Linked DNA regions of Mus musculus. The protein of the gene in region 1 binds, or shares a complex with, the protein of each later gene. Links are inferred from orthologs where the notes say so. Each region holds a gene or a part of one and is shown on either strand. Other genes may lie near its edges.

What was found.
Region 2: Rbbp7 (region 1) and Hdac1 share a complex: the UniProt entries of both Homo sapiens proteins name them as parts of the core histone deacetylase (HDAC) complex. The link is inferred for Mus musculus from reciprocal best matches to the Homo sapiens genes RBBP7 and HDAC1.
Region 3: Rbbp7 (region 1) and Hat1 share a complex: the UniProt entries of both Homo sapiens proteins name them as parts of the type B histone acetyltransferase (HAT) complex. The link is inferred for Mus musculus from reciprocal best matches to the Homo sapiens genes RBBP7 and HAT1.

The regions. Positions count from the first base shown.
Region 1 is NC_000086.7:162,773,853-162,777,505, forward strand, and holds part of Rbbp7 (histone-binding protein RBBP7), read left to right. Parts: intron 1-700; coding exon 701-777; intron 778-1,883; coding exon 1,884-1,941; intron 1,942-3,653. UniProt on the Homo sapiens protein: Core histone-binding subunit that may target chromatin remodeling factors, histone acetyltransferases and histone deacetylases to their histone substrates in a manner that is regulated by nucleosomal DNA.
Region 2 is NC_000070.6:129,532,638-129,536,290, forward strand, and holds part of Hdac1 (histone deacetylase 1), read right to left. Parts: intron 2,090-3,653; coding exon 1,977-2,089; intron 1-1,976. UniProt on the Homo sapiens protein: Histone deacetylase that catalyzes the deacetylation of lysine residues on the N-terminal part of the core histones (H2A, H2B, H3 and H4).
Region 3 is NC_000068.7:71,409,758-71,413,410, forward strand, and holds part of Hat1 (histone acetyltransferase type B catalytic subunit), read left to right. Parts: intron 1-385; coding exon 386-506; intron 507-2,033; exon of another isoform or gene 2,034-3,195; intron 3,196-3,653. UniProt on the Homo sapiens protein: Histone acetyltransferase that plays a role in different biological processes including cell cycle progression, glucose metabolism, histone production or DNA damage repair. Coordinates histone production and acetylation via H4 promoter binding.

The DNA.
Region 1 (3,653 bases):
CCCGGAACTCACTCTGTAGACCAGGCTGGCCTCGAACTCAGAAATCCACCTGCCTCTGCCTCCCAAGTGCTGGGATTAAAGGCCTGTGCCACCACTGCCCGGCTGAAGTTTTTTTTATTTGGTGGAATTTGGACATTTTGTTTTTGATAAAGCTCCTCATAATTCTATATAAATCAAGGTGATGGATATTTTTGTTGTTGCTGTCATTGTTTTTGAGAGTCCCCTCCCATCCAGAAGTAAGAAAAAATTCTTCAATGGAATCAGTTTGAAGTACATTTTCAAGGATTTTTCAATTAAGAGTGACAATATGGTGGGTGCACTGTAAAAATGGTCCTATACATAGTTTTGGATTAGAGATTATAGGCTAATTTTAAAGGTTTTATGGATGGTTATGGGTCTAAAGATTTCTGGGATTCCTGACTTCTTCAGTACTAGAAACATGACTTCCTGCCTGCAGGCTTGGGGAGCTGGGAGTAGCTAAGGATTTGGGTACGTAGCTCAGTGGTAGAGCAAGCACAAAGTGTTGGGTTCAGTGCTGCCATCAAGGTGGATTGGTAGGGCTCACTTTAAAGCCTTGGACAGTCAAGTCTCTAGGCTAAGCGGATACAGAATGTGAGGTAAGGAAATACAGATTAGAATGATACTTACAGACCAAGGTACCAAGGCTCTTTAAATAAGTTTTCAAAATCTGTATTGCTAGGTCCACTGGTCTCCACATAATGAAACTATTCTGGCCTCAAGTGGTACTGATCGCCGCCTGAATGTGTGGGATTTAAGGTAATTTAGGATCTGGTGACAAGGAACTGCATAAATGTGTCAATCTAACAGATTACATAATAGAACTCATAAACCAGGAAAGCAATTTGCTGATCCAACTTCAATAAACTCCTAACTACCTTAAGAGTTTCTGTTCTGTGATAGAAAAGTAAATCAGCAATTAACATAAATTGGTCATGTATTTTGTATGAGTGTTTTGCCTGTGTGTGTAACACATGTGTGCCAGGTACTCATATCAGATCCCCAGAACAGGGACTATGAGTAGTTGTATAGGGATAGTACAATGTGGGGGCTGGGACATAAACCCTGTTGTGCATCAGCAACAAGTGGCCTTAACTGCTGAGCCACTACCACTCCAGCCCTATTTCTTTGTTGCTCAAGTCTTTGTTATGTGTGCTTAGCAAATTAAAATACCTTTTGCTACAGTTCACTAGGGTTGTAGCTCAATGATAGAGCTAGCATACACAAGGTTGTGGGTTCAGTCTCTAGTACCACAAGCATTAAAATACTGTCAGTGTCTCCTTGCATGTAGCATAGAAAAGAGAATTGTTGGATTGAGTGTTTTCGCTTTCATTTTTTGTGACACAGGGCATTGTGTAGCTCAGATCAGACTGGCCTCAAACTCATGATATTCTTGACTTTTCCTAACAAATCTTTCTTTGGCTTATACTTCATTAAAACCACAGTTAAAAAAGAAATTGAACTAATGTTTATTATGAGCAATATTTCTTCATTGTGCAGCTTTAATTTATTAGTGGCTCCAAATGAACAACTCACAATAATAAAGAATACTTAAGTCTGTTCTCAGCATTCTTGATGCTGCCACCCTTTAAAGTTCAGTTCCTCTTGTTGTGGTGAACCCCCCCAACCATAAAGTTATTTTTCTGGCTACTCCATAACTGTAATTTTGCTACTGTTATGAATCATAATATAAATGTGTGTTTTCACGCACCTGTGAAAATGTCGTTTAGCCCACACAGAGTGGCAACCCATGGGTTGAGAAACCTGTCTTAAGTACTTCTCATAGAGAAATACTTTCTGGGTTAATAAAACACACATGCATGCTATAAGACTTTGCAGTAATGAAAGCTTTATTTTCTTAATAGTAAAATTGGAGAAGAACAATCAGCAGAAGATGCAGAAGATGGGCCTCCAGAGCTCCTGGTATGCATTAGATTAAATGTCATATTATGCACACTTGAGTACTTTTTTACTAGACTATTTTAGGTCAGTCAGAGCTTCAAATTTTAGCTTGCCAGTGATTTCAAAAAAAAAAAAAAAAAAAGGAAATCCAGGAAGTTTTTGTGATTAGGCTCTGTAGGCTCTGACATTTATTACAAATGGTAAATGGAGCCCCAGAAGTTTCTGGAAATGTTTCAGTGAGGGTAACTTTAAGTTCCTATTGATTTCAGGTATGGTGTTTTTTGAGGCTTGTTTTGTTTTTGTTTTTCTGCTGGGAGGGGGATTGGGAGGTAGTATCACTGCTGTTTGATTACCAGCATGGTTTTCTCTAACCATATGGAAGTTAACACTTTTCTGTGAAATACTGACAGGCTTAGTAGTAGCTCTTTGTCCCTTTTCTGAATTGTTCACCATGTGTCTCCTCCAAACATTTGGTCATTGTCTCTAACATAGGTGAGAATTTATGGTGCATGAATTTTAAGGTGAAAAAAACCCTTTGAGAGTAAGTCCAAGACACAGAAGGTGTTCACTAGTGCTAACCTTGTGCAAGCTCCCTTGTCTCTTTGGCTTCTGTGCACAGTAGCGCCAGGCAGAAATGAGCAAGAGAAGGATAGGGGATTTTTAGACCAGTGTGTTTGACATTTATATCATTGCTGCTTTAAAAAATAATTCTATAACCCAGGAGGCTCAAGCAGGAAGGCCATGAGCTTTGAGGCCATGGCGGTGGTGGGGTAGGGGGATGAGACATTGAGTGTGTGGTATACAGATGGTAGTGTCCAAAATACTTTATTGTGCCTGACTCTTAGCCTTCATGATTTTTTTTTCACAAAGGCCTTTTGTCTACAGCTAGTTTTCTCTGTGTATATATTATGAATTTGCAATAGTTTTATAGTCCTTAAGGAACACCATTATGGGGCTAGTGAGGCAGCTCAGCATTTAAATACCTACTGTTCTTGGCAAGGGGACCAGAATTCAGTCCTCAGTACTCATGCCAGGTGGCACACAATGCCCTATAATTCTAGCTCCAGAGAGATCAGACATATCTGGCTTCCATAGGCACTGTACTCATATATATATATATAGGCATACATGCCCATATAATTGAAACTTTTAAAAAGTCTATTATGGTACTCATAAGAAAGCTTGAAATCAAAGGACATTTAAATTTAAGACTAGTAAGTTGTCAGTGAAGAGAAACGGTTCAACTGATAGAAGCAAGCTTGCCCCCCCCCCCCCCAAGGAGAGAAAAACACGAAGTTATTTATTTGTAAAGCTGTTTACCATACCATTTCACTTATGTGAAATTGTTGCTTTTAGTTTTTTCTGTAGCCAAGGCCTCACTCACAGAGATATGTGTGCTCTGAGATATGTGTGACACCCCCCCCCCATCTTGGTTTGTTTATCTCAGTTTTTTTAAAACTGATAAAGCTGTACTACAAGGTTTGTTAGGCATAGTGCCTTGTAGAAAACAAGATCCCACCCTTTTACATTTTTGGGGAAAGTTTCATTGGCCTATGCTGCAAGTCTGGACCTTAAAGTATTTATTTTTGCAACCCTGTTATATTGTGCCTTGGGAATATTGAGAAAAGGCTACTGTGAAAGACAGCTAGAGAAGAACCAGGAAGACTCCTCTGTCAGGCATATGAAAGAGCATATGAGCAGACATGTTGGAAATGCTTGGTGGTTATTCACTT
Region 2 (3,653 bases), on another chromosome or scaffold:
TTGGCTAGCCTGAGACTTGACATGTAGACCACATTGACCTTGAATTCAGAGACTCCTCTACCTCTGCCTCTCAAGTACTAGGAGCAAAGCCATGTATGTACAACCACACCCAGCTAACAAGTATCTGCCACTGCAGAGCAGCCAGAATACTTAGTGTTCATGAAGTCCTGGGTTCAAATCTCCAGTGCTGTAAGAACTAGACATGGGGCTGGAGAGATGGTTCAGCAGTTAAGAGCACTGACTGCTCTCCTGAGTTCAAATCCCAGCAACCACATGATGGCTCACAAGCATCTGTAATGAGATCTGACGCCCTCTTCTGGAGTGTCTGAAGACAACTACAGTGTAACTACATATAATTAATAAATAAATAAATAAATAAATAAATAAATAAATAAATAAATAAATCAATCTTGGTAATCCAGGCCTTGGAAGGAGGCAGGAGGTCTGAAACTCAAGGCCATCACTCCCCACAGACTGAGCTGGAAGCCAACCTGTGACCATGTGTTTGGGAGGCTGGGGGCAACCAGACTACCTACGTTTGGGGCCAGTTGGGACTACAAATTCAACAAAACCCTGCCTCAACAAACCAAACGGAAAAAAGCTCTCAATCTGTACCGCACTGCCTGCAGAAGAGGCAAACTGAGAATCAAGCCAAATTTAGTCTACACATATATTGGTATTCTTTACACATATGCTAAAAAATAAAAACAGATTTGGGAATTATAGCCAAAAATTAAAACAAAGACAAAACATGGAGCCAACATTTTAAACTTAGGTGGTATTATATAATCCAAAGTTCCAGTTTTTCTTTTAAAATTGGAAGCTCAGACAAAATTAGTTAGAGCTGTATGTGGGAACAAGACACGAGCTTACACTGAGGCTGGAAGCATAGCACTGGAAGACAACGACAGCGCTGTATAAAAAGGTGTGCCTGCGGGCAACCATGGAGCTCAGCTCTTCAGAGGGGAGCCGAGAGGGTCACAAGTGCAAAGGTCACCTTCAGCTATGGCTTCGATGAAGACAATGAGGTACAAGAGCCCCCAAGTCAGAGACAGTCCATACTCTGACTGTGTACTGTGTGCTGGCCTCAACTCAGGGATCTGACTGCCTCTGCCTCCTGAGGGCTGGGACTCAAAGCACCACTACCCAGCATGTTGTTGGGTTTTATTCTAGGCTAAGATTAGCTCGCACTCATTTAAGACTGTAGCCCAGGCCAGCCTTGAATCTCCAGCCATCCACGCCGCAGTACCCACACTGGGCTTCCATGTTGGCTTACAGCGCACTTCCCGAAGACTTTTGCTTTCTCCAAACACCACGTCATCCTCAGTTCGGTCTGTGCCTCTGTCCAACCCTTGACTTGGATACCAGTCCCTTTGTGAATGCTGCACTAAGTTCTAGGCGTTTTCATTCTTTGGAGACAGGGTCTCCTATACCAGGGCTGGCTGTGAATTGCCCAGAGTGGCCTTGAAACCCCAATCCTACCTCTCCCACCAAAGTGCTAGAACCTCAGCCTCATCCTTGACTTTCTAGTCAGTCTGAAGGAACTCCACGGCTCCGTTCTTCACTCCTCACCTCTCTATCATTAGCATTCTTTAATTGTTACACAGACACGGTAAACTTGGTTAGCTTACACGTACTGACACTGAAGTGCTTAAAAATAAAAAAATAGAACCTTCATCTACTCGCCAAATAATAGCCACTGAATGAATGAGCAGCTGAGAAAGGAAACTAAAGAATGCAGGCAGGGAGCCAGGTGTGGTGGCGCACGCCTTTAATCCCAGCACTTGAGAGGCAGAGGCAGGTGGATTTCTGAGTTTGAGGCCAGCCTGGTCTACAAAGTGAGTTCCAGGACAGCCAGGGCTACACAGAGAAACCCTGTCTCGAAAAACCAAACCCTCCCCCCCATCCCCCAAAAAGGAATGCAGGCAGGGAACCCAAGCTGACAAGGCAGGCAGGGGCAGCACTCAGGAACTCACGTAGATCTCCATTTTTCGGTAGAGACCATAGTTGAGCAGCAAATTGTGAGTCATGCGGATTCGGTGAGGCTTCATGGGGTGCCCTTGTCCATAATAGTAGTTTCCAACATCCCCTGAAAGAGAAGACAGTTTGCTTTATTATTTATTTTGGTTTTTCTGTGCACCCATGTGCAGACAGGGTTTCTCTGTGCACCCCTGGCTGTCCTGGAACTCACTCTGTAGACCACACTGTCTTCAAACTCAGAGATCTACCTAACTCTGCCAAGTACTGGGATTAAAGACACCACAGATACCCCCAGGTTCTCCGGTTTGTAAGATTTTATTTTTGGACTGAAGAGATGGCTCAGTGGGTAAGAGCACTGACTGCTCTTCCAGAGGTCTAAAGTTCAATTCCCAGCACCCACATGGTGGCTCCAGTTCCAGGGAGTCTGACCCCCTCAAACACCAATGCACACACAATAAAAATAAATAAATTGGGGCTGGTGAGATGGCTCAGTGGGTAAGAGCACCCGACTGCTCTTCCGAAGGTCAGGAGTTCAAATCCCAGCAACCACATGGTGGCTCACAACCATCCATAACAAGATCTGACTCCCTCTTCTGGAGTGTCTGAGGACAGCTACAGTGTACTTACATATAATAAATAAATAAATATTTAAAAAAAATATTTAAAAAAAAATAAATAAATTAATTAATTAATTAAACAAAAAAAGATTTCCTTTTCAATTACACATAAATGTGTGTGGACATGTACATGCTGGTGCAGGTGTCTCCTGGGAGCTGCCTAATGTGGATGCTGGGAATTGAACCCTGGTCCTCTTGAAGAACACTCAGTGCTCTTAACTACTGAGCCACCTCTCCAGCTCTTAGAGAAGCAGCTTTACTAACACAGTTAAACACTCTCCTGGGAGAACCCAGCAAACTCCCAGAACTCTAACGCTCATTTCTAGTTTCCATGAGTATTCCTCACCTTAAATAAAAGGAAGAGCCCGTGGTTCCTACATAAGCCAGTGTTTAAGGGTGAATCTAGAACACCTATATATGGGATAAAATTGACTGGGAATGAATAGGCAGTGTGGTGACTCAACTCACCGCACCTTTATGGAATTCCTTTTCCACGACAAAATCACTCACTACTACCTGGGACTATAACCACAGCCTACAGATAAAACCAAACTTCCTTGTTGCTTGTTTCAGCTACAGAAATTGCTTCTAACTGGTTCCTGGCCTTCGATTCAAGCTCTCTGCCTGCCACATCATGACCAGCTATTTCTCCTAAAGTGCAGCTCAGAACATCTCCTACTGGCTCCTCTTGCCTCCGGGCTCTGACTTCAATAGGCTGAAGTCAACATTTGTTCAATCTACCTTGTGCTGGCTCGATTTAGGTCAATTTGACACAAACTATGGTCACTGGAGAGGAGAAACCTCAACTTCGAAAATGGCCATGGGCCAGCCTGTAGAATATTTTAATTAGTAATTAATGACAGAGGGTCCAGTCCATTGTGGGTGGGGTCATGCCTGAGGTGGCAGCCCTGAGTTCTGTAAGAAAGCCGACTGAGCAAACCACGAGAAACAAGCCAGCAAGCAGCACCCCTCCATGGCCTCTGCATCAGCTCCTGCTTCCAGGTTTTTGCTGTTTGAGTTCTTGTTCTGACGTCCTTCAGTGATGGACTGCAACAT
Region 3 (3,653 bases), on another chromosome or scaffold:
TTAATATATGTGAGTGCTCTGTATGTACACCTGCATGCCAGAAGAGGACATCAGATCACATTATAGATGGTTATGAGTCACCATGTGGTTGCTGGGAATTGAACCTGTGACTTTTGGAAGAGCAGCCCGTGCTCTTAACTGCTGAGCCATCTCTCCAGCCCGGTGCTGCAATTTAAACTCAGCTCATTAAGCTTGTATAGCAAGTACTCTTACCTATTAAGCCATCTTTCCAAACTCTGGAATAACCTTCAATATGTCCTGGGATGTAGTTTAACTTCACAGGCAACTGTACGATTTTAAATTTGTTTATATGTTATAGTTAATACTTTTCAATGACTTGGCAAAAATTTATTCGGCTGCTTTTTGTTTTTGCTTTTTATCTCAGTGAAACTGCTTTCGGTTACAAGGGCCTGAAGATCTTGCTGTACTATATTGCTGGTAGCCTGTCAACACTGTTCCGTGTTGAATATTCATCTAAAGTTGATGAGAACTTTGATTGTGTGGAGGTAAGAATAGAAAGAAATATATTTTAACTTTTCTTTTATTTATTTGTTTGTTTGTTTGTTTATTTATTTATTTATTATATGTAAGTACACTGTAGCTATCTTCAGATGCACCAGAAGAGGTCATCAGATCTCATTACGGGTGGTTGTGAGCCACCATGTGGTTGCTGGGATTTGAACTTCGGACCTTCTGAAGAGCAGTCGGGTGCTCTTACCCACTGAGCCATCTCACCAGCCCTTAACTTTTCTACTTGAGTATAAGAGAAGGTTTTTTTTTGTTTTTTGTTTTTGTTTTGTTTTGTTTTTTCGAGACAGGGTTTCTCTGTGTAGCCCTGGCTGTCCAGGAACTCACTTTGTAGACCAGGCTGGCCTCGCACTTAGAAATCCACCTGCCTCTGCCTCCCAAGTGCTGATATTAAAGGCGTGTGCCACCACGGCCGGCTATAAGAGAAGTTTTTATTGTTAAAGTTCTAAAAAGGAATCTGAAATGTAGCTTCAGGATGAGGAAGTGTTTGCCTGTCTTTTCTCTAATCCTGTGATCATGATCCTGCGTCTGTTTATCTCCTGAGTGAAACTTCTCTATGAAAACTTCACTTTGATCAGAATACGTACCAACTTGCTTTTATTGTAGACATAGAAGTTACCAACTTTCTGTAGGCTTTTATATTTTAACGTGATTTTTGTCCTGTTGATTGTATTATGTTTTTCTCTTTCTCCCATGTTTTATATTTTTAACTCAGTTAAGTATCATCAGGAGGACTTCTTTTTTTTTTTTCTTTCTTCGAGACAGGGTTTCTCTGTGTCGCCCTGGCTGTCCTGGAACTCACTTTGTAGACAAGGCTGGCCTCGAACTCAGAAATCCACCTGCCTCTGCCTCCCAAGTGCTGGGATTAAAGGCTTGCGCCACCACCGCCTGGCTTATCTCAGTTTATATCTCTTGAAATTTTCTTTTAATTTTGCTGATAGAAAGCTAACTATGAATAACGCCATAGTTGTATAAGTGAATATTTGCAACTAAATTCCATCTAGACCAGCATTGACTAAATTACTAAAGTAGAGATTTTCAGTAGATTTTTTTTTTTATTTATTTAGATATGGTTAAGTTTCTCCAGAATCCAAATATTTAATACTGAGTATTCTGATATCAAATAACAGCTAATGTTTCCCTTTGAACAACACAAAATTCGCTGTCATTTGAGGAGTCTGTGTGCCTATGAATCTGTGTGAATGATTTAATGTTGCAGTTGATAGTGCTAAATTGATTTTTTTCCAAAGGAACTATTGACTTAGTTATTGATAAATCTTTCAAGTACTGTGTGTAGTGAAAATAGCTATTTGTACTAACTTCTAACTGGTCCATTTCTGAAAATCAGAGTTTTCTATTTAAAAGAACTATGTTAAGTATAAGAAATCAATCTTTTTGTCAGGTTACTACTTGCTTCATGGTCAAAGTTCATTTGCTTAGTGTTAAGGAAAGATCTCCCTCTCCCTTGTCTTTCTTTTTTTTTTTTTTTTTTATTTTTTTCATTTAAAATGAGATATGAACATATTTATTAGGATGCTCAATAATGAACATGTTATCACTTTCTTCATGTGAGGTAGAATACACCTGACCCATGCTGTGGGAAGAACAGGATAAGGGCTCCCAACACGGGCATCAAATGGTTCCACAAGACATCCCCATTTACCAAGGAGAGGATGTTTCCTGCTAGCACTGTCTCTGCTGTAAGTTCCAGCAAATTGCCACGATCTCCACAATACTGCCCCAGATACGGGAGAATATCAGGCTACATACATCAAAGATACACAGGACATTAATAAACGGCTCCCAGACATAGGCCCAACATCAAATTTCTTCAAATGATAAGGGGTGGGAGACTGCTACCCAAAGGAAGTTCCTCAGTGTCAGTAACATTTATGGAGATCTTATATCAAAGGCACAAGGGACCAGGGTTACTGTCATCCTATCCTGCACAGTGGAATAAGTTTGCAGATGAAAGTATACACTGTCCGTGGCTTAAGTTTCTCCTGGTTCTTCCTGTTGTTAAATGGTGACATTCTGCCTTTCACCTGTCCTAGCTATCATTTCATTTTTTATGGTAGAAGATAATGAAGAGATGGTGAAAAATAACCGTATTAAGACAAAAATAAAAATATAAAACACAGATGTAGTACAATATAATAGTAACTGGCTGAAAATAGTACATGCTAACAGACAATACGATACACAAACAGGGTGGCAGTAGACAGGGAAGGGCAGAGGCCACGGCCTACACCAGGAGCCTTTCAATAGACTGCTGAATGGACTGGATCTGCTGCTTTAGTTGAGAGCCTTCTTTGATGGTAACAGAACAGGCGATGACTGGCCTGGAGACACCACAGGCCTGTCCTAAAGCCTGCTTGGAGCGCACAAATACGTAGAGGACATTCTTGTCTTCACACAGCAGAGGGAGGTGCGGGATGATCTCCAAGGGCTCAGCGTCTGCTGCCATCACAATGAACTCAGAGATGCCTCTGTTGGGGGTTTTGGTGGCTTCATTGGCTCCTTTCCGAAGCTGCTTGTAGTTACATGACTGTTGAACAAGGTCCAGCAGCTTCTTGGTGAGGTGGGCATCTGCGAGGGGATAGGCCTTCGGATTCACATCAGCCTCTGTCATGCGACTCGATGACAGCCCACCTCAAGATGGACTGAGTTGTCTTTCATTTTTATTTTATTCTATTTTTAGCTTTTGTTTTTGTTTTCTTTTAAGGTTTATTTATTTATTATATGTAGTATACTGTAGCTGAAGAGGGTGTGAGATGTCATGGATGATTGTGAGCCACCATGTGGTTGCTGGGATTTGAACTCAGGACCTTTGGAAGAGCAGACAGTGCTCTTACCCGCTGAGCCATCTCTCCAGCCCTTATTTTTGTTTTTTAAGAATGGTGGTTGATGTGGGCATGGTAAGCTGGCCTCTTCTGTTCTAGTTTACAGTAATAAATTGATAAATGCTCATTCTCCAGGACTTCCTGTGAGCCATCTCCTCCAACCTCTCACCGCCCCCCAACCTCTGGCTCATGAATTATTTGTATTACGTAGCATGTTTGTATATGGGTATGACATGCAAATGTGGGTATTCAAAGAGGCCAGAAGGGGGCTTTGGGTCTCCT